Diceros bicornis minor: one gene and its partner. The protein of the gene in region 2 purifies or fractionates together with the protein of the main gene of each other region. This does not show direct contact. Links are inferred from orthologs where the notes say so. Each region holds a gene or a part of one and is shown on either strand. Other genes may lie near its edges.

Evidence for each region. Proteins that work in one complex are often made in the same cells at the same time.
Region 1: the proteins of KCNA5 (region 2) and KCNAB2 purify together in Homo sapiens (co-immunoprecipitation; 3 studies listed by BioGRID and IntAct, counting the BioPlex papers as one, with this or other methods). This does not show direct contact. The link is inferred for Diceros bicornis minor from reciprocal best matches to the Homo sapiens genes KCNA5 and KCNAB2.

The regions. Positions count from the first base shown.
Region 1 is NC_080752.1:26,153,984-26,161,523, forward strand, and holds the start of KCNAB2 (voltage-gated potassium channel subunit beta-2), read left to right. Parts: upstream 1-4,540; 5' UTR 4,541-4,621; coding exon 4,622-4,839; intron 4,840-7,540.
Region 2 is NC_080756.1:56,493,838-56,500,659, forward strand, and holds KCNA5 (potassium voltage-gated channel subfamily A member 5), read right to left. Parts: upstream 2,318-6,822; coding exon 506-2,317; downstream 1-505. UniProt on the Homo sapiens protein: Voltage-gated potassium channel that mediates transmembrane potassium transport in excitable membranes. Forms tetrameric potassium-selective channels through which potassium ions pass in accordance with their electrochemical gradient.

The DNA of each region.
Region 1 (7,540 bases), on a different chromosome or scaffold from region 2:
TGCCTCTCTCCACCTGTGGTCCGTGTCTCCGGCACTCAGAGCAGTGGAAGCAGGGCGGGTGTGCCCTGGGGAATCGCAGGACCCCAGCCAGTGGCCCCCTCCCAGCCCCGCATGCCGGGAGTGGCCTTGCCAGGCTGCACCACGGAACTGCAGTTCCCGGGCTTTTAGGGGAAGAGACACTCGTGAATAATTCAGCCTCTTTCACTGAGATGAAAACACCCTAATAGGACTAATGGACTCGCTGCCTCCAAACTCGACCCTTGTGGGACTCTCCTCACTCACCAATTGCCTCTGACGTTCTGCAGTGACACTCCCTAATGAAACAGCTGCTGCGCCAGGTCCTCAGAGCGTGTGGTGGACCCTAATAAACCAGACGGTGTCCTTTTTAACGAGCAGACGCCCAGAAGGCAGGTGAGTGGCCCCGTCAGCTCCAGGAGTGCAAGTGGCAGCCACCTTCTTCAGGGGATGCTGCTTGGGGACAAGTGTCCTAGGAACGGAATAACAGAGGGCCGGTATTTGGGGATGCGTTAGGCTGATCTGAAATTAGACCCCCTCTATTTTTTCAAAGGGGAAAACCTCAAACAAAGCCAGCCCCAGGTCCCCGTGAGATGACCGCTGGAGGCAGGAGGGTGGGTGTCTGCCGCTTGAGCATGCTTGCCCCCCAGCCCCACCGAGCGAGCGCCGACTGGCTGTCCCCGTCTGGGGGAGACCTGGGCAAACCGCTCCTACCTTGTTGGGCTCACCGTTAGGATTCAGCATTTTCGAGTTTCCCGGGAGTGACAGCAGGGAGGTTTGTGGCTGTCTGAAAGGTCTGTCTGGAAACACGGCCTGGGAGAGCGGGGCTGCTTGTTCAGGCCTTGGTTTGCTGATTGCTCTCCAGCAAAAATCGTTTCGTTTCTGCCCTGACGCGATGCCGTGCATTGTAGAGCCTCGCTTGGAATGATGCCGCTTCCCCTCGCATTCCCGCTTTCAGGAACTCTGGCTGGTTTCTCTGACATTGAGGCAGATGTCGCCGTTTAAAAGAGATGTTCAGGATTCCTTCCACACCTCGCGTCTCATGCTTTGGTGGCTGTCAGTAAACAGACCACAGTTCAGCAGCGCCAGGTGGAAGGCTCTTCAGAGAGGTCGTGATTTCCACTGACTTAATGAGGTTAATGTCTTTGTTTCGTGTTTCCATGTCATGGTGTTCATTCACGTGAATTCCCCCGAGCCCACCAGTCTGCAAGAATAGATTTGCAAAAGGCAGGCTACAGAAGCAGTAGGCGCCGCGTAATTAGCAATGGCTATTGAGGAGGGGGCTGATTTTCCTTGAGCTGGGGATGGGCGGCAGGATGGTGAGGAGGAGCAGCGAGAGGTCAGTGTCACTGTGCTTTAAGCTCTGAGAAGCCAGAGGGCCGAGGCAGAAGCCCCAAGCGTGGGCTTGCCCTCCCTTCTGCCGGCAGTGTCCTCCTGGGGACCCTTCATCCAAGGACCCAGCCCTGCTCGAGTTGCCTTGAGAGGCAGCGGGAATAGGCCCCAGTGTGAGGAAGTCCGGGGAGCTGGCTTCTGTCCTCTCCCACCGGTGGCACTGGTGACCGTCAAGTCCCACTGTGCCTTCTGTGTCCTTCCTGCTCTGGGGGGTCTTGCCTCCCTTGAGGACCTTAGCAGGAGGAACATCTCCCAGCCCCTCTTTTGCTGTGCCCACGCCCCACTTCTCCCACAGATCTCCTGGCTGGAACCTGCCCTGGCTCCACAGGACCCTCGCAGCAGGAGGCTCTGGGCTCCCTCCATGCTGCAGGTGGCCCCGCCCCACCCGCAGGCCCTCCCGAGGAAGGGTCACAGCAGAGGAGGCCCAGCCCCACAGAGAGGGGCCCTCCAGATCCTGGCCGCACCTGTCCTGCACCCGTCTCATTAGGAACGTGTGCTCTCCGTGAGACGTTTCATCCTATTCAACATTTTCTAGTGATATTTGGTATCCGCACAGCTTCCTCGTAGCACTCAGGCCCATGCTCATGTGTACCCTCTCGGGAGGCCCCATCCCCCCTGCCACCCTGTCTTGTGTATTTTTGTCCCGACACCAGCTATCATTACTGGTGTCACATGCCACGCCTTGTTGTTGGTGGCCACCTCCCCGCGTGCAGCAAGCTCCCGCTGCAACACCATCCCCTGCCCAGATGTCCAGCTGGTCCTCTGCAGCCCGAGGCAGCCTATGCAATAGGCCTCCGCTTGTCCCACTTCACAGACGTGGAGACTGAGGCTTGGAGTGGTCGAGATGTCTGACTAGGTAGCCCTGAGTGGGTGCCCCTGCCCGAAACCTGGCTGCTTAGCCACACTGTCATCCCAGCCCCAGGGCCTTGGCTAGATTTCCAGAGCCAGACCAGACCAGGGTTGCTTTTGGTGGGTGATGACTTGAAAGCTAATGGTTATTGATCTCGGCCTGGCTGGGCCTGGCTAGGAATGCTCATCTGAGGTGGGTCCTGCTTTTTGGGTGAGCTCCTGCAGCTGCAGGCTGCATAGCTGGTCTTCTCTCTGAACATGGACCCCCCGGAAGCCAGGATTGGTCTGCTTTCACCCCACCACACGGCCAGCGGCCTCTGAAGCAGCTGCCTGATGCTGCCCTGTGTGCACTTGGAGAGGGGGTGGGAGGGAGGGAGCTGCTGTCTGTGGGCTTCCGTGGCACCATTTCCTGAGACAAACCCCCACCCTGGAGCCCCGTGCCCTTCTACTGCCCCCAGAGTGATTCTCCCAGAAAGGGGGGATTTTTACACCAGGGACATCCCTGCCTGCTTTAGTGTCCATCAGAGACCTTAGTCCAAACCTCTGGGGGACGCCAGAAGTCCTGGGCCCTGCAGGCCCCTTCCCTTGGACCTGAGCCACAGTGAATGCGAGTCCTGGCCGAGGGGCCCCCCACCCCCCAGGAGAAGGCAGCTTGCGGAGAGCTGTGCCTGAGTCAGGGAGCCAACCCAGCCCCCCCAGGTGCTGCCGGGCACTGGCAGGGAAATGCCCAGTTAGTGTTGCGGGCACTGAGCAGGCGGCAACAAAAGCAGACAGAAGAGTGCCCCCTGCCTGGACCTGACCTTCAGGGGGATCAGATGCAACAAACAAGATGATTAGAGGAGACTCCAGCACGTTAGATGATGACACGTGCCGTGGACAAAAACCGCAGCAGGAAAGGGGATATGGAGTGTGGCTAGCCCAGGCGGCTCCACCACCTCCACACTCAGGGACCGAGCCACAGCCTCTGCAGCTGCCTCTGCTCCCGGGACAGCCCCTCCAGCCCTTCCCAGGGATAATCGGATTTGTTCTCCCTCGGAGCAGAGGTCGGGACAGTGCTGGTTCCTCCAACTCCCAGGGCTGGGCTCCGGGACCCCGCTCTGCAGCTGACCCTGCGGGAAGGGTAACTCCATCTCACCTCTGTCGTCAGTGACTATGCTGGGGCTACCGTGCAGGCAGCTGCGCCAGGGTGGAGGGCTGTGGTCAGGTGCAGGAGGAGTCCCTGGATTGTAGGCCACCTCTGCCCCTTGGGGCCGTGTCTTTGTTGCCCGGTCAAAGATGCTGCAGGATGTAGATGCCAGTCATGATGCCACCCTTCGTTGATGCACTCATTTATGCACATGAATTCACACACAGTAAATGGTAGCGTCCCATGCACACACTTCTTCCCCTGGCCTTTTTCCCACTGTCTTTTAGGACTCATTGAATATCAGTCTGTGTAGAGACACCTCTCTCGATGGCAGCACAGATTTCCATGATGTGGCTGGACTGTCATTTACGTAACCAGTTTCCCCATCAATGGACATGTATGTTGTCTTTAGTTTCCAAGAGCGTGCAGACATTGTTTAGGATGACTATTTAGCAATGGTGCTTAACATTTAAGCTTTGAAATTTCCTCATCCATACTAAGCCTATTCCCCCTTCTTTACCCCTCTCCTTAAATGCATCCTGCTCAGTGTTTCTATTGCAAAACTTCGTGGATTGTGACATAGTTATCACGGAGCGTGGCGCCCTGAGAACTCTGCTGTGCAATGGCGCTTTCTACAAGCAGAGAATGTGTATGGATAGCACTTCCCTTTACAAGGCTTGGAACAAATGAGCAGGGTCTTCCTGGGGCAGGGCCCCCTGGCATGTGGGCTGAGGCACCCCCGGCCTAATCACACTGGAGTCTGCTTCAGTGACAGGTGTGCTGCTTCCCGGGGACAGCCCTTCACGGGTTTTACTCTGGGAACGCCTCCAGAGAGCACCGTGATGTCGGGTCTTCGGCTGTGGGGGCTCTGCTCTCTGCATGCTCCCTGTGCCCCTGTGTTCATTTGGAGCACTTTTGAGCTCTCCCGCCTGGAATGTGGCTTCGCCTGTGCTTGACTCACGGGTGTCGGGGGGAGAGGGCGGCTTAGCCAGAGCTCCCGGCCAGCTTTGAGGACTGAGAATCTCATGCCAAGAAGTATTTACATCCAGGGGCCTGGCCTCGTCCCTGGGCATCAAGACCCCTTGGTGGCTGCTCTAGTTGGAGGATGTGTCTCTGCAGCCACCGCTGCCCTGGGGCCAGCATCCAGCCCGGGCCCTGGGGGCAGCAGCACGCTCTCTAACCCGTCGCCACCCGGCGTTTCCCGTCTGGACAGTGGTGGCTCCCAGGCCAGGCGGTACCATGTTGTCCATGACGTACAGCGAGAGCCTGAGGAGCGTGAGCAGCAGGTGTCACTCTGATTGGGCCCTGCACCCCGTCCGCCAGACCGACACACTAGAGCTGCAGCGGCTGCGGGAGGTGCGGGCGGCCGCCCAGGCCAGGAACATGGAGAGCTTCCTCCGCATGCACGGCCTCTCCCTGGATGGCTGCACCGCCCGGCGCACGGGCATGAAGTACCGGTAAGGGCTGGGCTGGGGCTGGGGCGGGAAGTACGCTGGACGTGGCAGGAGGCCCGAGGCAGGTGCTGCAAGAGAGAGAAGCCCAGGAAACATGAAAACAACTTTACCGTATGTCAGGGTCAATATTTTGTGTTTAAAAATGCCAAGCATATAGAAATGTATAAAGGAAGAAAATGAAAGTTTGCACAGTCCTATCCTCCAAAGAAAAGCACCGTTAAGTTTGGTATATTCTCCGTGGGAAAAGAATGTGGTTTCTTGAAAAAACTTTGCAGCAGGGGTAAACGTGCTATTTCATTTGTCTTCTTGCAACGTTGCTGAGACAAATTAATTGTTAGGAGTTAACTAAACATGAATTAGGGAAAATACCTCAATTCGTCATCTCTAATGACAAACCCTACCTGGCGCCAGAAACCCGGGTTGGGTTGTGGGGGCAAAGACATGGTCCCCTCCTTTCCATCCTTAAATTGAGCTGTCCTCGTGGGAAGTGGTTTCAACAGGTGGCCTCTGAATTGCTTGCTGCAGCTCCGCCTGTAACTGTGATGGTGAAGGCTGTGGATTAAATGACCCTGTGTTCTCCAGGGGACAGGCATGTGGGGCTTAATTTCCTGGGAACCTCAGAAGGACATTCTCTTTAGCTTGCTCATTGTTGAAATCAACGTCTGGGACAGTACTCCGGCCTGCCTACTTTCTCCTCTGGGAGCCTCAGAAAGCAGCCAGAGAGCCCTGGAGCTTGCATTTTCCGTTATAAATTGCATATATGCAGCTTTATTCCTGCGCCTCCCAGGGACAAGCCCTTGCCAGAGCCAGTTGGCCAGAGAACACCCTCTCCGCAAATAAAATACAGGATGCCCAGTTAAATCTGAATTTCAAATGAACAGTGAGTTTATTTTTTTAGTATAAGTATGTCCCACATATACTAAAACATTTTTCGTTGTTTGTCTGAAGTTCAGATTTAATTGGATGTCCTGTATTTCATCTGGCGACTTGAAATCTTTAGCTTCCATCTAACAGGCCCCTGGGGTTATCGGCTGTTCTCTGGAGAGTAGAGTGACCAGCCTGTGGCTTTAACATTTCTCCTATGGACAATGTGTTTGGGCCTTCGGCTGATTGTTTGAACATGTGGTTGTCATTTAAAGCAACAAAACACTTCTGCTGTGAGTCCATTAGATGGCAGAATCCTTAAGGCTTTGTATTCTAACTCCAGCTGTAAGGGAAGCTAGTTTGGCCCCAACGAGCTCCTAATTCTGATGGAAATTTCTCAAAAGGGAGATGAGACTCTGCATTTTTTCTTTTTTTTGGCAAGTCATTGATACTTTTGATTAATTCAACAAGTGTTTATTGAGGATCTACCTGGCTCCAGGGAACAGGTGTGCCAGATGCCACATGGACAAGACAGACAGCGTCCCCATCCTGGATATCGCTTCCTCAACGGGGGAGGCAGAGAGAAAGCAAGTGGACACCTAAGGGAGTAAGGGGAGCCGGGGACGACTTGGGCCAGAGACCCCAGCCATCTGAAAGGGGACATTTGAAGATATGCGGCAGACCCTTCTGGGCCAGGGAGACAGGCGTACTTTTGGAGAGAGAAGGCCTGAGTGGCCTGGCCTAAGTGAGGACGGCGGAGAGCTGTAGGGATGAGGCGGGGTGGCCAGAGTTTGTCCTCCCCCTAGGAAGACCCCAGCTCCCTCCGTTGAATATGATTTGTGATAGAGGGTGCACCAGGGTGAATCGTGTGCCCCAAAATTTCATCTCCACCCGAAACTTTATTTAGAAATGGGGTCATTACAGATGTCATTAGTTAAGATGAGGTCCTACTGGAATGGGGTGGGCCGTAAACCCAGTGACTGGTGTCCTTATAAGAAGGCCATGTGAAGACACTCAGGGAGAGGCCATGTGACAGTGCAGGCAGAGATTGGATGGATATGGCCACAAGCCAAGGACTGCCTACAGTCACCAGAAGCTGGAAGAGGCAGGAAAGATCCCCCCTAGAGCCTTCGGAGAGAGTGTGGCCCTGCTGTCACTCAGCTTTCAGACTTCTGGCCTCCAGACTGTGAGAGAATCGATTTCTGTTGTTTGAAGCCCCTCCGTTTGTGGTACTTTGTTATGGCAGCCCCAAGACACTAGCACAGCTGGCAGGGGGTGGGTGGAGGGGATGGGGACGAATCTCTTATGTGCCTGACACCCCAGGAAAAGGTCTGTGTGGCATCTGAAACATGCAGAACTAACTGGGGCCGAAATACCCTGGGAAAACTGGGTGGGAGAAACAAGAAAACCACTGGTGGCACCTTTCGCATTTGATGGGCCAGAGGTTGTCACACCTGCGGGCCTTTCTTTATCTGGTGGATTTCATCTTGCTGCATCCAGGGGGGGTTGGTTGTCTGGAAACAGGGCCTCCCTAACTAACGCCACCAGTTATTAAAGATTCCAGATAAATGCTGTTCCGCAGTTAACATCCCCATCAGCATCTGGGCCAGGACTCAGTTAAACTTGGTCTTAAATAGTAATATGAAAAAGGTGATGCCTCCAGATAGGTGATGCTCGGTGGAGCAAAGACACCCACGCCACTGGCCGGACGTGTTATCGGCTGAACTGAGCCTGCAGCTGGGGAAAAAGCTTTCTTTTCAGCTTCTCCCATTTGTTTTTAACTGTCCTCAACTCTTGCTGTTTAAAACAAATGCACTGAATTTTTAAATCTGCACGATCC
Region 2 (6,822 bases):
CCATAAATACCACATATGTCTTGAAAATATATCCAAAATATCTCCATCTGAAACTACAGTACAAAAATCCATTCACCAGCCATAAAAATAATACCTTCCCCTATACATAAATATAATCATATGTAAAGCAAATTTGGAACACATGGCGGGGGGTTACAAAATCTCTTGGGATTTGGCTATTTAAAGTCATTTTTGTTTGGGTTATCCCTCTGCCGAGTATAGGAAACGGGCTACAAATACATCCATCTCACAGTGCTCACCACTTCAACAGCTCCTGCGTCATGGAATGTGGTGCTTTTTAAAAATAGGCGACCCTTGGTGTCATGGAAAGAAGAGGAAAAATGGGGGGATCCACGGAGGGATGATGGTGGGAAGTAGTGAAAGAAGAGGGACAGACTTAGGTTACAGGGTGGTCTTGAAATACTCTGCGGTATAAAGTAAATACCCAGGTTCAAGAGGCCTCCGCTGTCCCTACCCCACTGCCACCAGTCGCCTGAATTCCCCCTTACAAATCCGTTTCCCGGCTGGTGTCCAGGCAGAGGGCATACAGGGACCTCCGCAAGTCCACATTGCTCTTGGCTTTGAGATTACACTTCTCTAGGGGGCAGCTGCCCCTTTGGGCTCCATCCGCATTCTCCAGGGACCCCCTAGCCTTGCAGAAGGACCCCTTGCTCCAACTGGCTTTCCGCTGGCCTCTGCTGTCCGGCCCGGTCCCCTGGATCTGGCTGTCCTGCTCTTCCTTAAGGGCTGCCTGATCCTCGTGGTCCGTCTCTCGGTGGTAGAAGTAGTTGAAGTTGGAGACAATGACAGGCACAGGCAGGGCGATGGTGAGGACCCCAGCGATGGCACACAGTGAGCCCACGATCTTGCCCCCCACAGTGACAGGCCTCATGTCCCCATAGCCAACTGTGGTCATAGTGACTACTGCCCACCAGAAGGCATCCGGGATGCTGGAAAAGTGGGTCTCCTGGTTGTCAGCCTCTGCGAAGTAGACGGCACTGGAGAAGAGGATGACTCCGATGAAGAGGAAGAAGATGAGCAGGCCCAGCTCCCGCATGGAGGCCTGCAAGGTCTTGCCCAGGATCTGCAGCCCCTTGGAGTGGCGGGAGAGCTTGAAGATGCGGAACACCCGGACCAGGCGGATCACTCTGAGGATGGCCAGGGACATGGCCTGCTGCCCGTTCTGGCCGCCCCCTCCTCCACCCCCAGGCTGTTGCCCTGCCAGCTCAGTCCCCAAGGTGATGAAGTAGGGGAAGACGGCCACCACATCGATGATATTCATGATGTTTCGAGAGAACTCCGCCTTGCTGGGGCAGGCGAAGAAGCGCACAAGCAGCTCAAAGGTGAACCAGACGACACACGTGGTCTCCACAATGAAGAAGGGGTCAGCCAGGGTCCTAGGCAGGAGAGGTGCCACGGTTGGGCCAGAGGGAGGCGCCACAGCCCCGCTACCGTTGGCCCCCCGGGTGGACCCAGGAGGCTGGTGAGGCACCGGGGGATGGCGGAGCAGCTCGCGTTCATCCCTGAACTCAGGCAGGGTCTCCAAGCAGAAGGTGATGATGGAGATGAGAATGACCAAGACGGAGACGATGGCAATGGCCCGCGCAGACCCCGAGCTTTCCGGGTATTCAAAGATAAGCCACACCTGGCGCTGGAACTCGTTGCGGGGCAGGGGCTTCTCCTCTTCTTTAATGAAGCCCTCGTCCTCCCGGAAGCGGTCCATGGCCTCATCCCCCAGCTGATAGAAGCGGATCTCATCTGCGAACACGTCCAGCGAGACGTTGACCGGCCTCCGCAGGCGGCCCCCCGACTGGTAGTAGTAGAGGATGCCATCGAAGCTGGGCCGGTTGCGGTCGAAGAAGTACTCGTTCCTCAGGGGGTCGAAGTAGCGCAGGCGCTTGGCTGGGTCCCCCAGGAGGGTGTTGGGGAACTGCGCCAGGGTGCCCAGCTGCGTCTCGAAGCGCAGCCCGGAGATGTTTATGTGGACGCGCTGGTGGTGAAAGGACCCTGCGCCGGGCGCCTGGTCCTCCGCCATGCCCAGGGCGGTGTCGCCTTCTCCCTCCTCGCCCTCCGGAGGCAGCCATCTAGGTTGCTGCAGCTCCTCGGGGAGCGGTGGCAAAGGCCGCCCTCCCGGGTCCGCGCCCCTTTGAGTGCCGCGCCCCCTTGGCGCAGGCTCCTCGGGTCCTTCGCTGAGCCCAGCCGTCGAGGGGCACTGGAGCTCTCCCCGTGTGGCCTGGCCACAGCCTGCCTGTGCCTCACCTCCTCCTCTGACGGTCATGGCACTGCCGTTCTCCAAGGGCACCAGGGCAATCTCCATGGCCGGGGGGCAGGGGGCATGCTGCGCCCCTGGCGACTGGCTCCCGCTCCACCCCACTCCCGCCCCGCTGGGCGCCTCGCGTCGGGCTCTTCTCTAGCCTTCGGCGGGCCCCCACTGTGCGGCGGGCTGGGGCTGCTGGCGCGATCCCTTCGCTTGGTCCTGACGTCAAGAAGCCGCTGCCCTGCTCTCTGCCTCTTTCTCCGTTCTGGCAACCCGTTACCAAGCAGCCAAAAGCCTCCTTCCAGCAGATGCAACCTTCAGCTGCCCCTCTCCTCGTCGGCTGCGCGGCGGCGCTTGGCCTCCACCCTGCGCGGCTCCCCCGCCTCCTCCCTTCCCCTCCTTCCTCTCCCGCCTCCCCTCCCCGGTACCGTGGCAGCGGGCCTCTCCCCGGAGGGCACAGCTGGGGCTCCGGGCAAGAGGAGGGAGGGGGGCTGAGAAGGGCGCAGCCGGGCGGAGGGAGGAGGGAGAGAAGGAGCGGAGAGGATGGAGGAACAGGTTGTACCGCGAGCGCTGAAACTCCCGGGGCAACCAGATGAGAATAGCTCTGGATTTCAGTTCACCAGGGAACCAGCTGAACGCAGAGTGGACTCGAGGGGAGATAAGTTGCCTTGGGTTGGAGGGATGAGGCTTTGAGCTGAGTATCAGAGAGGGGAGACAACAGTCCTCTTTACATTTCCCCTTTGGAGGGATAAGGGTTCTCTCTTCTTTGGGAAGAATCACAGTTCAAGACCCACAGCTTGGCCACGCCCCCTGCCTTCCGTAATTGTTCCCAAAGATAGATAGAGGTAAAAATATATCTATCTCTGTCTCTGTCTGTGTCTATCTCCAGACCAATGGAGAAGCGTCTCTCTTCCCATCTTCCTACAAACCCACCAAAAGGTAACCGCCTGAAACCTGCAGCGTCCCCCTGCCCTTACCCACGGGAAAGCCCGGATTCCTGTCCAGAGAGCGGTGGTCAGCGCGACAACCCCAGGAAGGCAGCTGCTGGGAAGATTCCATGCCTGGTCTCATATCCCTGCTGAGACACAAGCCCTTTGCTCTCTCCACAAATCCATTTGCAGAAACGCTTAACAGGGAAGGGGAGGAAAGAGAAAAGAGTCCCAGTGAGAGCTATTTCTGCTTGGTGACGCCCAGAGCCAGCAACCACAGCAGGCCTGTGCAGGTGGTGGCGGGCAGAGGCCATTAATGAGAGGGAGCCAGGGAGGTTATGGAATTCCCAGAGCTGGAGAATTCCCGGGAGTAGAATAAGAACCAATACTTGCTTTGCTCTTAGGATATGCCAGGCCCATTCTCAGCACCTTACAAATATTGACTGGTGTATTCCTATAGCAACCTATTTTCTAAGTATCATTATTATCGCCATTTTATAGATGAGGAAAATGAGACACAGAGAGATGGACTACCTTGCCCAGGGTCACACAGGTAGAAAGTGGTGAAGCTGGGATTCAAACCCCAGCAAACAGAGCTTGGGCCCTTGGGCTCCCTACTCACCACACCTCTACAGAAATGCGTAACCGCCTTTCTAGATACAAGTCCCCACACGCACATCTGGCCTGGGCATCTATCTGTGGCCAAGGGAAATAGCTTTCAAGGCCTGTCTAGCAGTTACAGACACATCCTCCAGGTGTTCGTTGGTTTTAAGTTACCGTGAAGTCACTGTGTTTCTGAATGTCTGTCTATTTGTGTTCCTGTATGTCATTTGGGGTTTATAGATGTGGATGCCACACCTCTGTCTGTGAATGTGTCTGCACATGGGGGATGTTGTGGACACTTGGTACCCAGTGCACAAGTGTTTGTTGGAGTAGCAGGGTACGGATATAGGAGCTTGTGTCAGGGTTGGAGAAGTTTAGTGCGTGTGGCTTTTTTAATTGTCCGTGAGGGTGGATGTGAATTAGGCATATGTAAATGTCTTCATTGTCTGTGACTCTGCGGTTAGCTCTCCTTGCAGATGTGCATGACGGAGGAAGGGGCGTGAACGTGAGAACCAGTCTGTGCAGGCATCACTGGGTATCCACAGGGCCTCGCACTCACCTCCCCAGACCTCTGCCCTTCCTGCTCCATCTCGTTCGGGTTTTTATTCTTCTCTGGCTCTGAGGTTGCCAGTCAGGATCACGTCTGCCCCTGGGGAGCCTGGGGCTTACTGAGCTTGTAGAGAGTGAGCACAGAGACCTGTGGCCACTGTATCTTGTTTACTGACTTCTGCATCTTGTAAAGATGGGGATGCCGTGTTGGTTGACACGAACTCTCCCTGGCGCTCCTTAAGGGAAAGAGTTCTCTGGACCTTGTGGTCCAGGGGCCCTTGGGAGGCTATTCCCTGAAGAACAAGAGTACAACATAAACACGAAGCACATCAATCAGGCTCCTTTCATGTGGTGTTTTCTTCCATCTGCTTTCCATACCTTTACTAGCTTTTATAAGTTTCTTGCAAAATTACCTTCAGATGTCACATCTGGCAGCCATGGGGCCATACTGCTAGGCTCTTCCTTAAAGAGAGAATTTGCTTTTCAGCTTCAAGGAGTGCAGTTAGCTGACAGCCTCCAGCTGTTAGCATCCTCTGGCTCTGCCTCCCTTTCACACAGAGGCCGTGCTCTTCCTGGGGAGCCCTCTGCCAAAGACTGAGCACAACAGGGTTACAAGGACCTGGCCATTTCTGCCCAATGCAGAACTCTGCTCATGTGCACTCTTTGCTCTGGATTTCCCCATTGGGTCGGCCAAGAGTTTGTGAGAAATACATTGCATTCCGAACCCTCCTCTCCTCTTTCCTTTCACAGGTGTCAGATCAGCCTTGTGGTCCGAAGGCTATCCCTGCTGAGTTCTGCAGGTCCTTTCATTACCTCCTAATAAACCTGTTGTACTCCTAACTCCATCTCAGTGTCTTCTTTGCAGGGACGCAGCTGATATCCCACATAACTGAACCTGCTTTCTTCTGCACCCATCTAATAGAAAATAAGCTCTTTCATAGCAAAGCTTAATGTGCACCATGACCTGAGGATCTTGTAAAAAGGCAGACTCAGACCCAGGTGAACGTAGACTGCATTTCAAACAAGCTCCCCAGTGATGCTGATGCTCACATCCAAAGACCACACTTGGCGTTGCGACCTATTCTCAGACAAACCCCAAATGATGTCTTTGAAGGAGTTATTTGCAACACCTAGATTATGTCGCCCGAATGAGATATACAGAGGAGAAAAAATGGGAGGTCTTCTCTCAATTCATAGGACTGGTCCTACCAGACCAGAGGACTTATAAGGTGTGCAGAACCACAGAGAAAAGAATGTTATTAGGAGAAGTAAACATTGATGGGAAGGAGAGCTGGACTTGAAGAGAAAGGAGGAGAAGAGGAGGAGGATAAAGAATCCTAAATACACCTTTATTAATCTATTCAAAAATATTTATTGAGTACCTACTACATGCAAGGCATTGTTCCAAGTTCAGAACTATATTGATGATCGAGACAGACATATTTCATAACCTCTGTGGAGTTACATCCTGGGGAAGGCAAAAGACACTGAGCATCTAATTTTACACTGGTTGGTTAATTACAGTTTTAAGGGGTACCAGCTAAATTATAGGGTGCTCTGAGAATAGTGGGGAGCCTGACCCCATCTAGGACCCAGGGAAGCTTTCCCGAGGTGATGATGGAGAAGACAAACTATTCCAGGTGGAAGGAAGAGTCTGTCCCAAGGCCTAGGGAGGAAGGGACGGGGCGGGTTTGAGGAACTGAAAGAAAGTTAATGTGGCTGACACAGAGGGCAGGGAAAGAGTTCTGCAAGATCAGACTAGAGAAGTGGAGGAAAGCCACATCATGAAAAGCTTTCAAGGTCGTGTTTCATGGTTGCCCCAGCAAGATGTAATAACACATCCTTTCTTCCACCATCGGATACTTTACTTGTGTCTCTGCAAAGCAGATGAGCCAATATGCTTTGTTTTAGCTCTCCATTACTTGTTTTAGCCTCTTCTCTCCTCCAGTCCTACTAGAATATATCTTTATCTTTATCCCTCTGAGTGTATATATGTGTATCTATTTGTATGTCTATCTATATATCTATCTATCCTATCTATAAATAGTATCTACCACAGCATTTATCTATCTATAGATGATAGGTAGGTAGGTAGGTAGATAGATAGAGAGATAGATAGATAGATAGATAGATAGATAGATAGATAGATAGATAAAATAGGGAAGTAGGGATATCTTGAAATCAAACACCATACTGTATTCACCTCTGATTTGCCTAACAACACTAAACATGGCGCCATGTCCATATCATGAATTGCATTAAATATATGTTGAATGCAACTGAACTAAGAGAAAGAAATTCATTTGTGGAGCAGGGGAGGAGCAGAAACTGAGGGATAGGAACTGAACAGTGATTTCTGAGATTCGCTAAATACTCCAATTGGGTGTGAAGATGGAACCTAACCAGAAAATGTTAAGACTTGTTTGGATGGCCAAATAGGGGAAGCGGTCAATTCACTCCACGTTGGCCCTTTTTTCAGGTTAC